3 linked regions of the Cricetulus griseus genome follow. The protein of the gene in region 3 purifies or fractionates together with the protein of the main gene of each other region. This does not show direct contact. Links are inferred from orthologs where the notes say so. Each region holds a gene or a part of one and is shown on either strand. Other genes may lie near its edges. The genes, in order: Ift172, Traf3ip1 and Ift57.

Region 1 (3,750 bases), on a different chromosome or scaffold from region 3:
ATCATCTTTTTGTTAAGAGACCAAAGAGTTCTATTTCCAATTTTTCCATTAGGGGATTTTGAAAATACAGATTACAGCACCAGTTTACTGAACAAGGAGTACAACTTTTTATTGTTCTACCACTGAGCCAGGGCTCCATCCCCTACAACTCTCCTTTCTTCTAATTGACTTCTACTCTCAGTGCACTCCAAAAACATCCCAGAGTCCCATAACCAACGGATTCGCCTCTCTTTGCAATAAGTGCCCGACTGGCATGTCTTGAGGATTAAGTGAAACAGGTAGCAGGACAGACATTTTCATAAGTGCTTGACACCCAGTAAGTACCAAATATCATATCTCTGAGAAAGAAGTTATTATTATTCCCATTTTGTATATGGGGAAACTGAGGCACTGAAAATTAAGAAAGTTGCTCAGATTTATGTAGATAGCTTTTAGATGACAGATGCAATATTTGAATCTATGTATGTTTGATTCCATGAGCTATAAATCTAATGTCTTTAATTATGCTATCATGGTATATATGTATTAATGACTTAATTCTGCCATATAATTTTATTTATTATTGTCATCATTATTATTATTTTTGAGGTAGGGTCTCTCTATGTGGTTCTAAAACTCACTTTGTAGACCAGACTGGGATTGAATTTACAGATATCTGCCTGCCTCAAGGCACGATGCACCATGCCTCACTATTCTTTTATTTTTTAAATCCCCCCCAAGACAGGGTTTCTCTGTGTAGCTTTGGAGCCTCTCCTGGCCCTCACTCTGGAGACCAGGCTGGCCTCGAACTCACAGAGATCTGCCTGCCTCTGCCTCCCAAGCACTGGGACTAAAGTTGAGCACCACCACTGCCCAGCTCCACCTTAATTTTTTATTTTTATTTATTTTTGTTGACAGGGTCTCTCACTGACCCTGGAGCTCATAAATTTGGCTAGGCTGGCTGGGCAATGAGCTCTAGGGACCCAACCGTCTCTGCCTCCCCAGTGTGACTGGTTTTTAAGTGGATGCTGGAGATCTGAACTCAGTTTCTTGAGCTTATGGAGCCATGGCCTCACAGCCCACCTTCTTATTTGTGTTGTTAGCCTGTCCTTCCCATTTCCATGGCCTTCCCTTGTGTCTACCATTCTTCACACAGCTTTTCAGTTTATAATGCTCTTTAAATCGTTTTCCTTACACTTTCACGACACAGAGCAACAATAGGGCTTCCAGAAAGAGTCCCATTTAAGGCCCAGTGTCAACAGTGCAGCAGAGACCAGGGGCCTCAAGCCAAACCAATGATTCTTTGCAATGAATGCCTGAATGTAAAGATGACTGGATAAAGGGGTTTGATGCATGACTCAGTTTGTTCTCCTACAGCTTCCATGATGAGACTTTTCCTTTCTTTGTTTCTTCTTCTTTTCCTTTTTCTTTTAATCTTAAAATTTGTTTTATTGGGGGAGAGTTTGAAGGGCAGAGAGCAGATTAGAGGGGACAGGAGATGGGTGGGATCTGGATGTATGGTGTGAAGACATAAAGAATCAATAAAGAAAAAAAATGTTTTTCCTGCTTGGCAGTGGTAGCACAGGCCTTAATCCCAGCCCTTGGGACACAAAGGCAGGTGGATCTCTGTGAGTTTGAGACTAGCCTGGCCTACAGAGTTCCAGGACAGGCTCCAAAGCTACAGAGAAACCCTGTCTTGAAAACCGCGCCCCCCAAAGTTTTTCCTTAAATTTGTTTATTGTGTGTGGTAAGGTGGTGCATGTGTGTCGGTCAGAAGACAACTTTCATGACTTGGTGTTTCCCTTCAAACTCAGGTAGGTCAGGCTGAGTGGTAAGTGCCTGTAACTATCTATCCATCTCACTGGCCCAATTTTTTTCTTTTTTCAAGATAGAATCTCATGCAGCCCAGGCTGGCCTTGAACTCTCTATGTAGTCGATAATGGCCTTACACTCCTGACCCTCCTGTGTCTACTTCTCAATTTCTGGGATTATCGGTCTTCAGTGCCACCAAGCCCAGCTTATTGTGTGCGTGTGTGTATAGGACTTCATTTAACTCTCTCCTAAGTCTCTCAGAGTTACTCTTACTGTGGCTTTTCTTTCCCAAATGAAGAAGCCAGTGATAGAAAGACCACGTATGATGAGGGTTAAAGCCAGAGATAACCATTTGATCAAATCAGTGCTATACTTGAACTCCGTTCCCTTCACTCCCAAACCTCTTCTTCCTTTATGTTCCTGGACTCCTTCCCCAGCCTCTTGTGAATACGAGACACACTTTCACAATCAAAATGAAGGTTTGGCCTTGCACTTATTTCATCCTGTGTAGATTTATGATTGTTGTCTATATATGCGCCTCTCCCTCATAGCCTGTGACGCAACTCGATCCTTTAGAGCCTAAGCTTGGGGCCTGGCACTCATCTGATGTTTGTGATGCAACGAAACCGATGCATGTTGCCTACTGAAAGATCTTTCACAATCTTCTGCACACAGTAGGCGCTCAACATAAACTTCTGTTCCCCCACTTTTTTTTTTTTTGGAACGCCGGGTGGCCGGGGAATGGGAGAGGCACGCGATTCCTCACCTGAGGGCTCAGCAGGGTCCTCAGGTGCTTCAACTGCATGACGCGCACGAGTCTCAGATGCTCGCTGACCGAGACAACTCCCGCGGTTACCTGGACAACCCGCCAAGCAGCGGCGTCGCCAGCCGCTGACGCACGGGAGACGTGAGTGCGACACACGTCATGAGGTCACGTAGTGGGTTCGCGACAATGCAAGCAGGACATGCGCAAGCGCAGTGAGTCCTAGAAGAGGGGTTGTCGAATTCTCTCCTCAACCAATCCCGTTGCTGCATGCAAACCCAACGCAAAGCCCCACCCACAGGTCTTCGTCTGTCCCCGCCCTCCCCAGCCCCGCCCCTCGACCCTACATCCCTTTAACCCTAGTTTCTCTCACTGCTGTGTTCAGCCAAGTGCGCTTTAGTTGCTTAAACTTTGGACAAGAGCAAGGCAGGTGCTACGGTAGGAGAAAGCCAATTTGCTGAACTGCAATCTTCATCTGCCCCCACGCCTCGAAAGTTGCACGAGGCCGCTCAAAACTGATAGGTAATAGTGAATGCTACCTGCCTGAAGTGGACAGAGGTACAGTCCCGTTTTACACAACAGGAGGGGTCACAGCTAGTAAACTGTGGAACCGGGATTCAAGGCAGAGCTGATATCCTTTTAATTCCTGTAAGACGATTCAAATCTTAACTCATTGTCTCCATGTTCAACTTCTCTCCCCTGTAACAGTCTCAGGAAATGATCCGGGGTTTTGAGGGATGTGTTGGAAGCACCGGTAGGGAAACGCAAGGCACCCTATTTGGCTTTTGGGTAAATGGTGAGTTCAATCTTGACTTATGGGTCAGCGCAGCGGACAGACAGAGCTTGGCCGCCCTCCTAGCTTGGAGCTGTGTGACATTGGAGTTGGAGATTGGCTCAGAAAAGATACCGTTGTCTTTATTTTGTTTGATCGGGATCCTTTCAAAAATTTTTTGTTCTAATTTCTTGCAACATATCAGAGAAATTGCATGAAATGCAGAAAAGGAGATTTCCGTAGGCCTTCTCTGTCTAGACTGTCCCAGATTGGCAAGACCTATACCCCACTAAAAGCATAACATATGCTCTCCAGACAGAAGCTGGGTCCCCAAGCTTTGCATGCACACCAGTTGCCAATGGCAACAAATATTTCTCTCCCCGCCGCTACCTCCCTCTTGAAAAATCAAGAACAAGTAGAGGGG
Region 2 (3,517 bases), on a different chromosome or scaffold from region 3:
ACATGTCTTCGATGTAATGTGTGATTTGCAAATGTTTGTTCTCACTTGTCCTTTCAGCTTCTTGGGGACTCTGCAGAATAAACAGTTTCTGATAAGTTCAGTTCATCAGGTTTTCCTTTCTTGGAACCCACTTGGGGTGCTGCCTCTAACTTGCCTAGCTCACTCCTAAAGACCTTCTCTTCCTCCTTCCCCTAACTGAAGGAGCGCTCACTCCTCTTTGAGTCAGCATGGAAGAAGGAGAAGGACATTGTTTCCAAGGAGATAGAGAAGCTCAGAGTGTCCATCCAGACCCTGTGTAAGAGTGCACTTCCCCTGGGAAAGATCATGGACTACATCCAGGAGGACGTCGACGCCATGCAGAATGAACTGCAGTTGTGGCACAGTGAGAACAGGCAGCACGCTGAGGCCCTGAGCAAGGAGCAGAGGTGGGGCTGCAGAAGGGAGGGGGTGGGGCTGCAGAAGGGAGGGGATGGGCTGCAGAAGGGAGGGGGGGGGCTGCAGAAGGGAGAGGGTGGGGCTGCAGAAGGGAGGGGTGGGCTGCAGAAGGGAGGGGGTGGGGCTGCAGAAGGGGAGAGGTGGGGGATCTGAACGAGATACTGATGAACTCATCCAAAATTGTAACTGAAAGAAATAGACTAGCCACTGAGAAGTGAGGTTTATTTGGAAAGCTGTTTTATTTAAAGGACATTTATTTAGAAAGGTCCCCTGCGTTTGTAATCAGTAAATCTAGAAGCACATGACTGTTAACATGTGGCTTTTTCTTCAGAACATACGATTTGACTGAGTGGTACGTCTGTAAGTCCATGTTACAGAAAAACAGAGGAGAGGTGTCGCCTGGCTGGTCCAGGCTGAGCCCAGTGTCTGTGGGGACTTGGTAGCCCACTTCCCTGCTGCCCCTTGGTCTTTTGTGTGTGTGTGCTTCAAGGACTTCAAGCCTGTCACTGAGGAAATAGTAGCTCCTTTTCATTTTGCTTTTGAAAGGGAATCTCATATGGGCTAGGGAAACAGCTCTGTAGTAAAGTCCCTTCCTAGCATGAGGCTCGGGTTCTCTCCCTGGTTCTGTGGGAAGAAAACAAGTGATTGGCATTTTCAGGCTTGGTTGCACCACAGGCCTGGCAGTTGTAAGTGGTGCCTGGGGTCTGGCACTTAACCCTTTTCTTGGTGAAGTCAGCACTTTGCTGGAGGGAGCAGTACAGACAGAACCCTCAGGACACTGATGAGCTACTGGTTGTCTCCCCCCAGCATCACGGACAGTGCGGTGGAGCCCCTGAAGGCAGAGCTATCTGAGCTGGAGCAGCAGATCAGGGACCAGCAGGACAAGATCTGTGCTGTGAAGGCCAACATCCTGAAGAATGAGGAGAAGATCCAGAAAATGGTGCACAGTATCAACCTGACGTCACGAAGGTGAACAGCCAGCCCTGCGGAGATGGAGCCGTCTTCCTCATGATGGGAGAAGGGGAAGGAGACAGACATTCTGCCCCAGTCTGCTGAGAGCATGGACTGCAGATGCCTGGACCCAGCTAAAGTCAGAGCTTTCGGTTTAGGCACTAAACTTATTAAAAGGCTGTGTTTTTTTACTTCCAGCTGCAGTACTTGCTACTTTAGTTTTCAGCTTGCCTTTGTGGGAGGGCTTATTTCTCTGGGTTTTTTTGTTTGTTTGTTTGTTTGTTTGTTTTTTTCTTTTTTGGCAAATGTTTTCTGCTGCAGCCTGTTTAATCCTGTACCCAAAGTTTCTAGCAGGTAAGTTGTGTCATGCTACTGGGGAAACTGCAGGCCTTTATTCTGCTTCTGAGTCTCCCAGAAGGACTTCCTACCAGCACCGAGCAAAGGGTGACTGTGGACTTTGTGGTGTGTACTTTACAAATAGAAAGAGAACAAGGCCTCAAACGATTAATTTCACTTTCATTTCTACCTGAAAGGGGTATTCCAGCCGGTGTCCTTGAAAGGTGCCTGTCACCTGTGCAGGGTTTCTGCCCTTACTATCATACCTGCATCTTCCTGCAGTCTCTCATGGCCCTGCCGTCTGCCTTCCTGGCAGTTCATATGCTGAAAATCAGTCTGCCCTTCACGGATCCATCTGATGGGAAACTGTCGCTGTTCACCTCCTTGGCTTTCTTCAGCCTCCAGGGTTCTTCTGGTGGATAAGCAGTCCCCCAGGCCTCCTAGGACTTTGTAACATGAAGGGCAGCACAGCCCTTTTCTTCTGTGTAGGTGTGTGCACTGAGAGCTGGGAGAGAGGGAGACTGCAAGGAAGACAGCATACCAATTCACAGTTGCGTTTGTTTTCCTTTTCTAAAGGTCCTTTTTTTTTAAAGCATAGTTTTTATGGTTTATATTCAGTTTTCGCCAACGTAAAATACTGTAAATACTTATAAAGGTCTTGAATTATTGTCTAAAGGATCTCAGGCTTTGGAGATGTTCTTGTGGCTTAAGGTCTGAGATGGTCCTTACGTTTCTGAGTATTTATTATGTTCACGAAGGCGAGCCCTGAGCACATTGTTTCCTGAAGGCTTGCACATGTGGCACAGTTACTGTTTCTCAGTCAGTGAAAAGCAGCGGCCCAGCCCTCAGCCTGGGGCTGTTGCCACAGTGTGGAGACTCCTTCAGTGGGTAGTCTTTCTCCTGGCTGAAGCACACCACACTTCTCTCCCACCCAGATCCTTCTGAATAGTTTGAGGGGGATGGGAAGGGAAGGCTTGTAGTCAACTAGTCTTTTTTATGTTGATAATCTCTTTTCTACTAAAGTGAATGGCTTAGCCATAACTGTAAGTGGACCCTCTGTAGCCCAAGTTAAGACATATATATATTCATAACCTTTTATGAATTTGTATATATGAATAGAATTTTTATGTTGCAAAAATTACATACATTGTATGTGAGTAAATTTTATATGCTGTAGTCTATCAGATTGTATCATAAAGTTTTATTTTTCTTTTTTACATAAATCATTAAAATAATCACCTATTTTTCCTATAAGTGTATGGGTTGTCAAGTTGATAAAAAAATGTAAGCTTTTGGACTTTTAATTTCAGATGTGTCCAGGGGAAATAGCTTCTCATCCAGACTGTGACACAATGCTTTTCCTGTAGTGATTGACACTTTGTGAGCTCGCTCCTCTTCTGCTAGAAGGTTTAAGATGGCATGAGGCATTTCTGAAGGCCTGTATTGTGACTGTCTTTGTTTTGGGGATATACACATTAAGCCCTGACCTTACTTTGAGAGAGTACAGAAGTAGAATTCCTAGGTGTTTCCCTCGCTGGTTTATAAGTTTCTAGAAGGATGGAGTTACACGGTATTGTGTAACTCCATCTGTGAAGTTACAGATTCAGCTGACGTTAATCCGAGCCTGGAAGAAATGTGTTCAAGTCGCCTGGGGTGCAGTGGGGAGATGTTCCAGTGAGTAAAGTATTCACTGTGCAAGTGCGAGGACCTGAGAAGGGACCCCAGAACCCGCATCAAACAGCCAGATGTGGTAACTCACATCTGCAGTCCCAGAGCTCCTACAGCAGGATGGGAG
Region 3 (3,750 bases):
TTTTACAAATGCATTTCAGATTTTAGTTATGGAAAAAAATGTGATTCTTCTACATTCTTTAGAGAGTCATACAAGATGTAATGATGCCTTGACAGCCACAGGATTAAACTAACAAATGTTTGACCTCTTGCTTCTGAGTTATCTTTTAAGAAGTGGCTGAGCAGCTACTTGGCTTCGCTTCTTATTTTAACTGTTAGTAAAACTGCCTGATGGGCTATTTTCTTAGCATTGTAAGAATAACTTACACTAGTGGTCAGTTACATCTCCTTTGTATTTTCTAGGTCAATACCTGAAGACATAACAGCAAAAATGCCCTTATCAACCATAAGCGCTGTCACACAGACGTTCCTTTCCAAATAGTGCGTTTTGTTGGATTGCGCTTCTACTCACGAATTTACGTCTGCATAGGTTTGAAACAGATTAAGCGGCAGGATGTGAGGGTGGCACAAATACTTCCCCAAACCCATTCTTACCACTTCAACTTCCACGTGCCCCTCCCCCCGCCACCCTCTTTCAATCAACCACTTTCTCCATTGAAGACAGGGTCATAGTAAGACCTCAAGCCTTATTTAGAATACTCTATTCAATCTAGCACTACCTAACAAACTATTAAGTTAAGAAATAGAGAAAGCAGTCTTGTGGTTGGAATTTCCGAGGTACCTTGAAACTAATGACAGCGAGTTTCACAACTACTACGAAAACTAAGGATCAGTGGGAGAGTAGCCTCCAGCACTGTGTTCCGCTTCATTTCAGTCCTTTGAATTGCTACCCAGGTGACCAGACATTCACCAGCCCCGAGCAAACAACCAGATCCTGCTCTTCTCTAGGCTGCACTAGGTTTGCAGAGCCAAACAGCCGCCAATCCTTCGCCTTTAAGGCGCGAGGGAGAGAGTTGCCAGAGAGGCTGGGGAAGGGTCGCCACGCCTATTGGGCGGGTCTACCTCCCAGCCTGGGGGCGGGGATAGCGTGACGTCAGTTAGGAATCCAGCTCTGGTTGGCCAGAATTTAGAGGGGCCGTCTGGGCGCGAAGGAGGCGGGGTGTGGTTGCCGTGGTGACCGGCGGCCCTGCGGTCGCCAGGTAACGGTGGCGGCTGTGTGGGCTACGCGGTGCTGGCGGCTGAGGCCGCGGAGATCCTGGCCCGAGCCCACGCCGGGCTCTGTGGGTCTGAGCTGCGATGGCTGCGGCGGCAGCAGTGATCCCGCCGACGGGCTTGGAGGATGGGGTGTCTCGGGCTCGCGGGGAAGGCGCAGGGGAGGCGGTGGTGGAGCGCGGGCCCGGCGCGGCCTACCACATGTTCGTGGTGATGGAGGACCTGGTGGAGAAGCTGAAACTGCTCCGCTACGAGGAAGAGCTCCTCCGAAAGAGCAATCTGAAGCCCCCGTCCAGGTGCGTGTCTTGTCCCCGGCGCCCGGTGCTGGCTGGGCCCAAGGGGACGCACTTCTCTAGAGGAGAAGACCCTGAGTTCTGATCCGCACATTGCCTTCCTGTGTCTTCCTTGCCCAGGAAGAGAACTTGTGCACAGAGGAAGGTGAAGTTTTCAGACTTGGTCATTTTGTGGAGAAAGTAAACAAGTTTTGTAATGGCAGGGAGGCCCGGGGAAGACAGCCTACCCGTTCTTTAAAACAGTTAAGCACCTCAACCAAACACAAATCTTATTTTAAAGGTAATAAAACACCCATAGTAAAAGGTAAACGCGATAGAAAAACTGATCTATTAATGCCATTATCATTGAGATCTCTTTGCAGTTTTTGTTTTCCTTTGCTAGACTTTCTAAACGAACAACTGTGTACTTCAGGCCTCCTGAGGAGCAAAACATGTAGACTAGTTGCGATGGTTCAAAAGTCTTAATGCTTTTGCAGCAACAGTACTCTTAGAAACTGGAAAGTGGAGAAGGCAATGAAAATGAAAAGTGTTCTCATATAGAACCTAACGACCCGGTGCTTGATGGAAAAATGTTCGGGAATATCAGGAAGTCAGAGCCATTAGTTGCCTGAAGTGAGAGACAGCACCCTCTCATGTATTCATGATACCTTGGTGATAACTGTGATTTATTGCTGTTCCTTTATTGTTGGTATTTATTTGTTTTGTTCTGTTAGAAGCAAATAAAAAGAATTGTCAAGGGTGCTTTCTTTTACTGTCTACAGGTAGGCTCAAATAAATTCTCTTGACAGTTTTCAGTTCTTGTCATCTTCCAGACACTCATGTTGAAAGATACTTAGGCTTTTATGCAAACTGTCCATAACACAGAGTTAGTCTGTAAAAGGAGAAAAGTTAGAGAAGAAAGTTCATCTTGATCCTGATCCATGATTAGAAGTTTTAGGATTGGATTATTATTTAAAATGAATTGATGATAATAACACAGATGGCCAACACTTTAGGTGTTCTGAAAACTGTTAATTTTTTTCAAATGCATTTGTCAAACAAAAGGAAACTGGCCTATGCTATTATTAATATCTTGCTGTACTAAATCTCAAAGGGTGAGTGAGACACTTCGTGCCATGGATTTGTGTGGATGTATTCTAGCCAGTGGTTCAAGGTGTCAGCATCACCTGGGAATGGAGGCCCTTGTCCAGGTCTGCTTTTTCAGAGTTCTGGAAACAAAGTGTTTCACCAACCCCTCTGGGTGATTCTGATGTACCTCGTGCTTGAGAACCACCTTCACAGGCCCCTGTGTCACTGTTCATTCCTCTGTCGGTGAGGAGTGCCCATTGATAAAGAAAACACAGTTGTTGGTGGAGAGATCCTTTATAAGCCTATGCCTGAAAAGACTTCATAACCCTTTAAAATTTCCTCGATTTCTATTTTCTTCTAGAACATTTATATTTTCTTGATAGAAAATAGAAGTATAGACCACTGATTCCTATGTCATAATTGAATATGTATATACACATAATCTGTGTAATAGTGATAGCGCAAAGAAAGCAAAGCAGATCTCTGATTCAACTTTCTTGAGTGATGTTACTTAGACCTTTTATGCCCTCTATGGCTCTGTATAAATCATATCCTCATTGGAGGATATTTAGTATAATAAGGGGTTTAGCAAAATTCAGCAGTTGTGATCCTGGGGGATGTGTTCTTAGTTCTTGCTGCACCCCTGGACCATCTAAGTTGGGAACTTTTGAAATGCACTTGTGATGTGTTCTGTTCCCACAAGTTGTGATTATCCATGAATGGGGGAAGCCCAGGCTTTCGCCATCTAGTAGTACTTTTAGGAACTGGTTTGAATATACAGAAAATATGGAAACAGCTGTTTGACATAGCTGATAGGTTACAAACAGCAAAAACATGGTAAATTATTAGTGCTTCTTAAATTCCAGGAGTCTCATAATTCAGAATTACCTTTTTTTTTTTTTTAGGGGAAATTCACTTATAAGCAAGCAATTAATCAAGTTCTACAAAAGCATCATGTATTTATTTTCCAAAATATACTTCCTTCCATTCCCTGGTTGTGTACTTTGTATACAGTAGTGACTGATTGAAAATTTTGTGAGTGCTGCAAATCTCTAGATAGTTCCAGAGTGTTGGTGAAGGCTGCTTGGGGGCATATTTAGCAACTGTGGACTTGACTGTGTTACTTACTCCTAGCTGATTTGCTTTATCTCTCCCTTTCTCCCTTCCCATTCTCCCTTGCTTTGAAACAGACACTACTTTGCTCTGCCTACCAACCCAGGTGAGCAGTTCTACATGTTTTGCACTCTTGCTGCTTGGCTGATCAACAAAACAGGGCGTACCTTTGAGCAGCCTCAAGA

The links.
Region 1: the proteins of Ift57 (region 3) and Ift172 purify together in Homo sapiens (affinity purification with mass spectrometry; 3 studies listed by BioGRID and IntAct, counting the BioPlex papers as one, with this or other methods). This does not show direct contact. The link is inferred for Cricetulus griseus from reciprocal best matches to the Homo sapiens genes IFT57 and IFT172.
Region 2: the proteins of Ift57 (region 3) and Traf3ip1 purify together in Homo sapiens (affinity purification with mass spectrometry; 3 studies listed by BioGRID and IntAct, counting the BioPlex papers as one, with this or other methods). This does not show direct contact. The link is inferred for Cricetulus griseus from reciprocal best matches to the Homo sapiens genes IFT57 and TRAF3IP1.

Annotation. Positions count from the first base shown.
Region 1 is NC_048600.1:13,095,432-13,099,181, reverse strand, and holds the start of Ift172 (intraflagellar transport protein 172 homolog), read right to left. Parts: upstream 2,597-3,750; coding exon 2,558-2,596; intron 1-2,557. UniProt on the Homo sapiens protein: Required for the maintenance and formation of cilia. Plays an indirect role in hedgehog (Hh) signaling, cilia being required for all activity of the hedgehog pathway.
Region 2 is NC_048595.1:443,047,084-443,050,600, forward strand, and holds the end of Traf3ip1 (TRAF3-interacting protein 1), read left to right. Parts: intron 1-201; coding exon 202-425; intron 426-1,242; coding exon 1,243-1,408; 3' UTR 1,409-2,976; downstream 2,977-3,517.
Region 3 is NC_048597.1:41,461,538-41,465,287, reverse strand, and holds the start of Ift57 (intraflagellar transport protein 57 homolog), read left to right. Parts: upstream 1-1,052; 5' UTR 1,053-1,175; coding exon 1,176-1,387; intron 1,388-3,642; coding exon 3,643-3,750. UniProt on the Homo sapiens protein: Required for the formation of cilia. Plays an indirect role in sonic hedgehog signaling, cilia being required for all activity of the hedgehog pathway.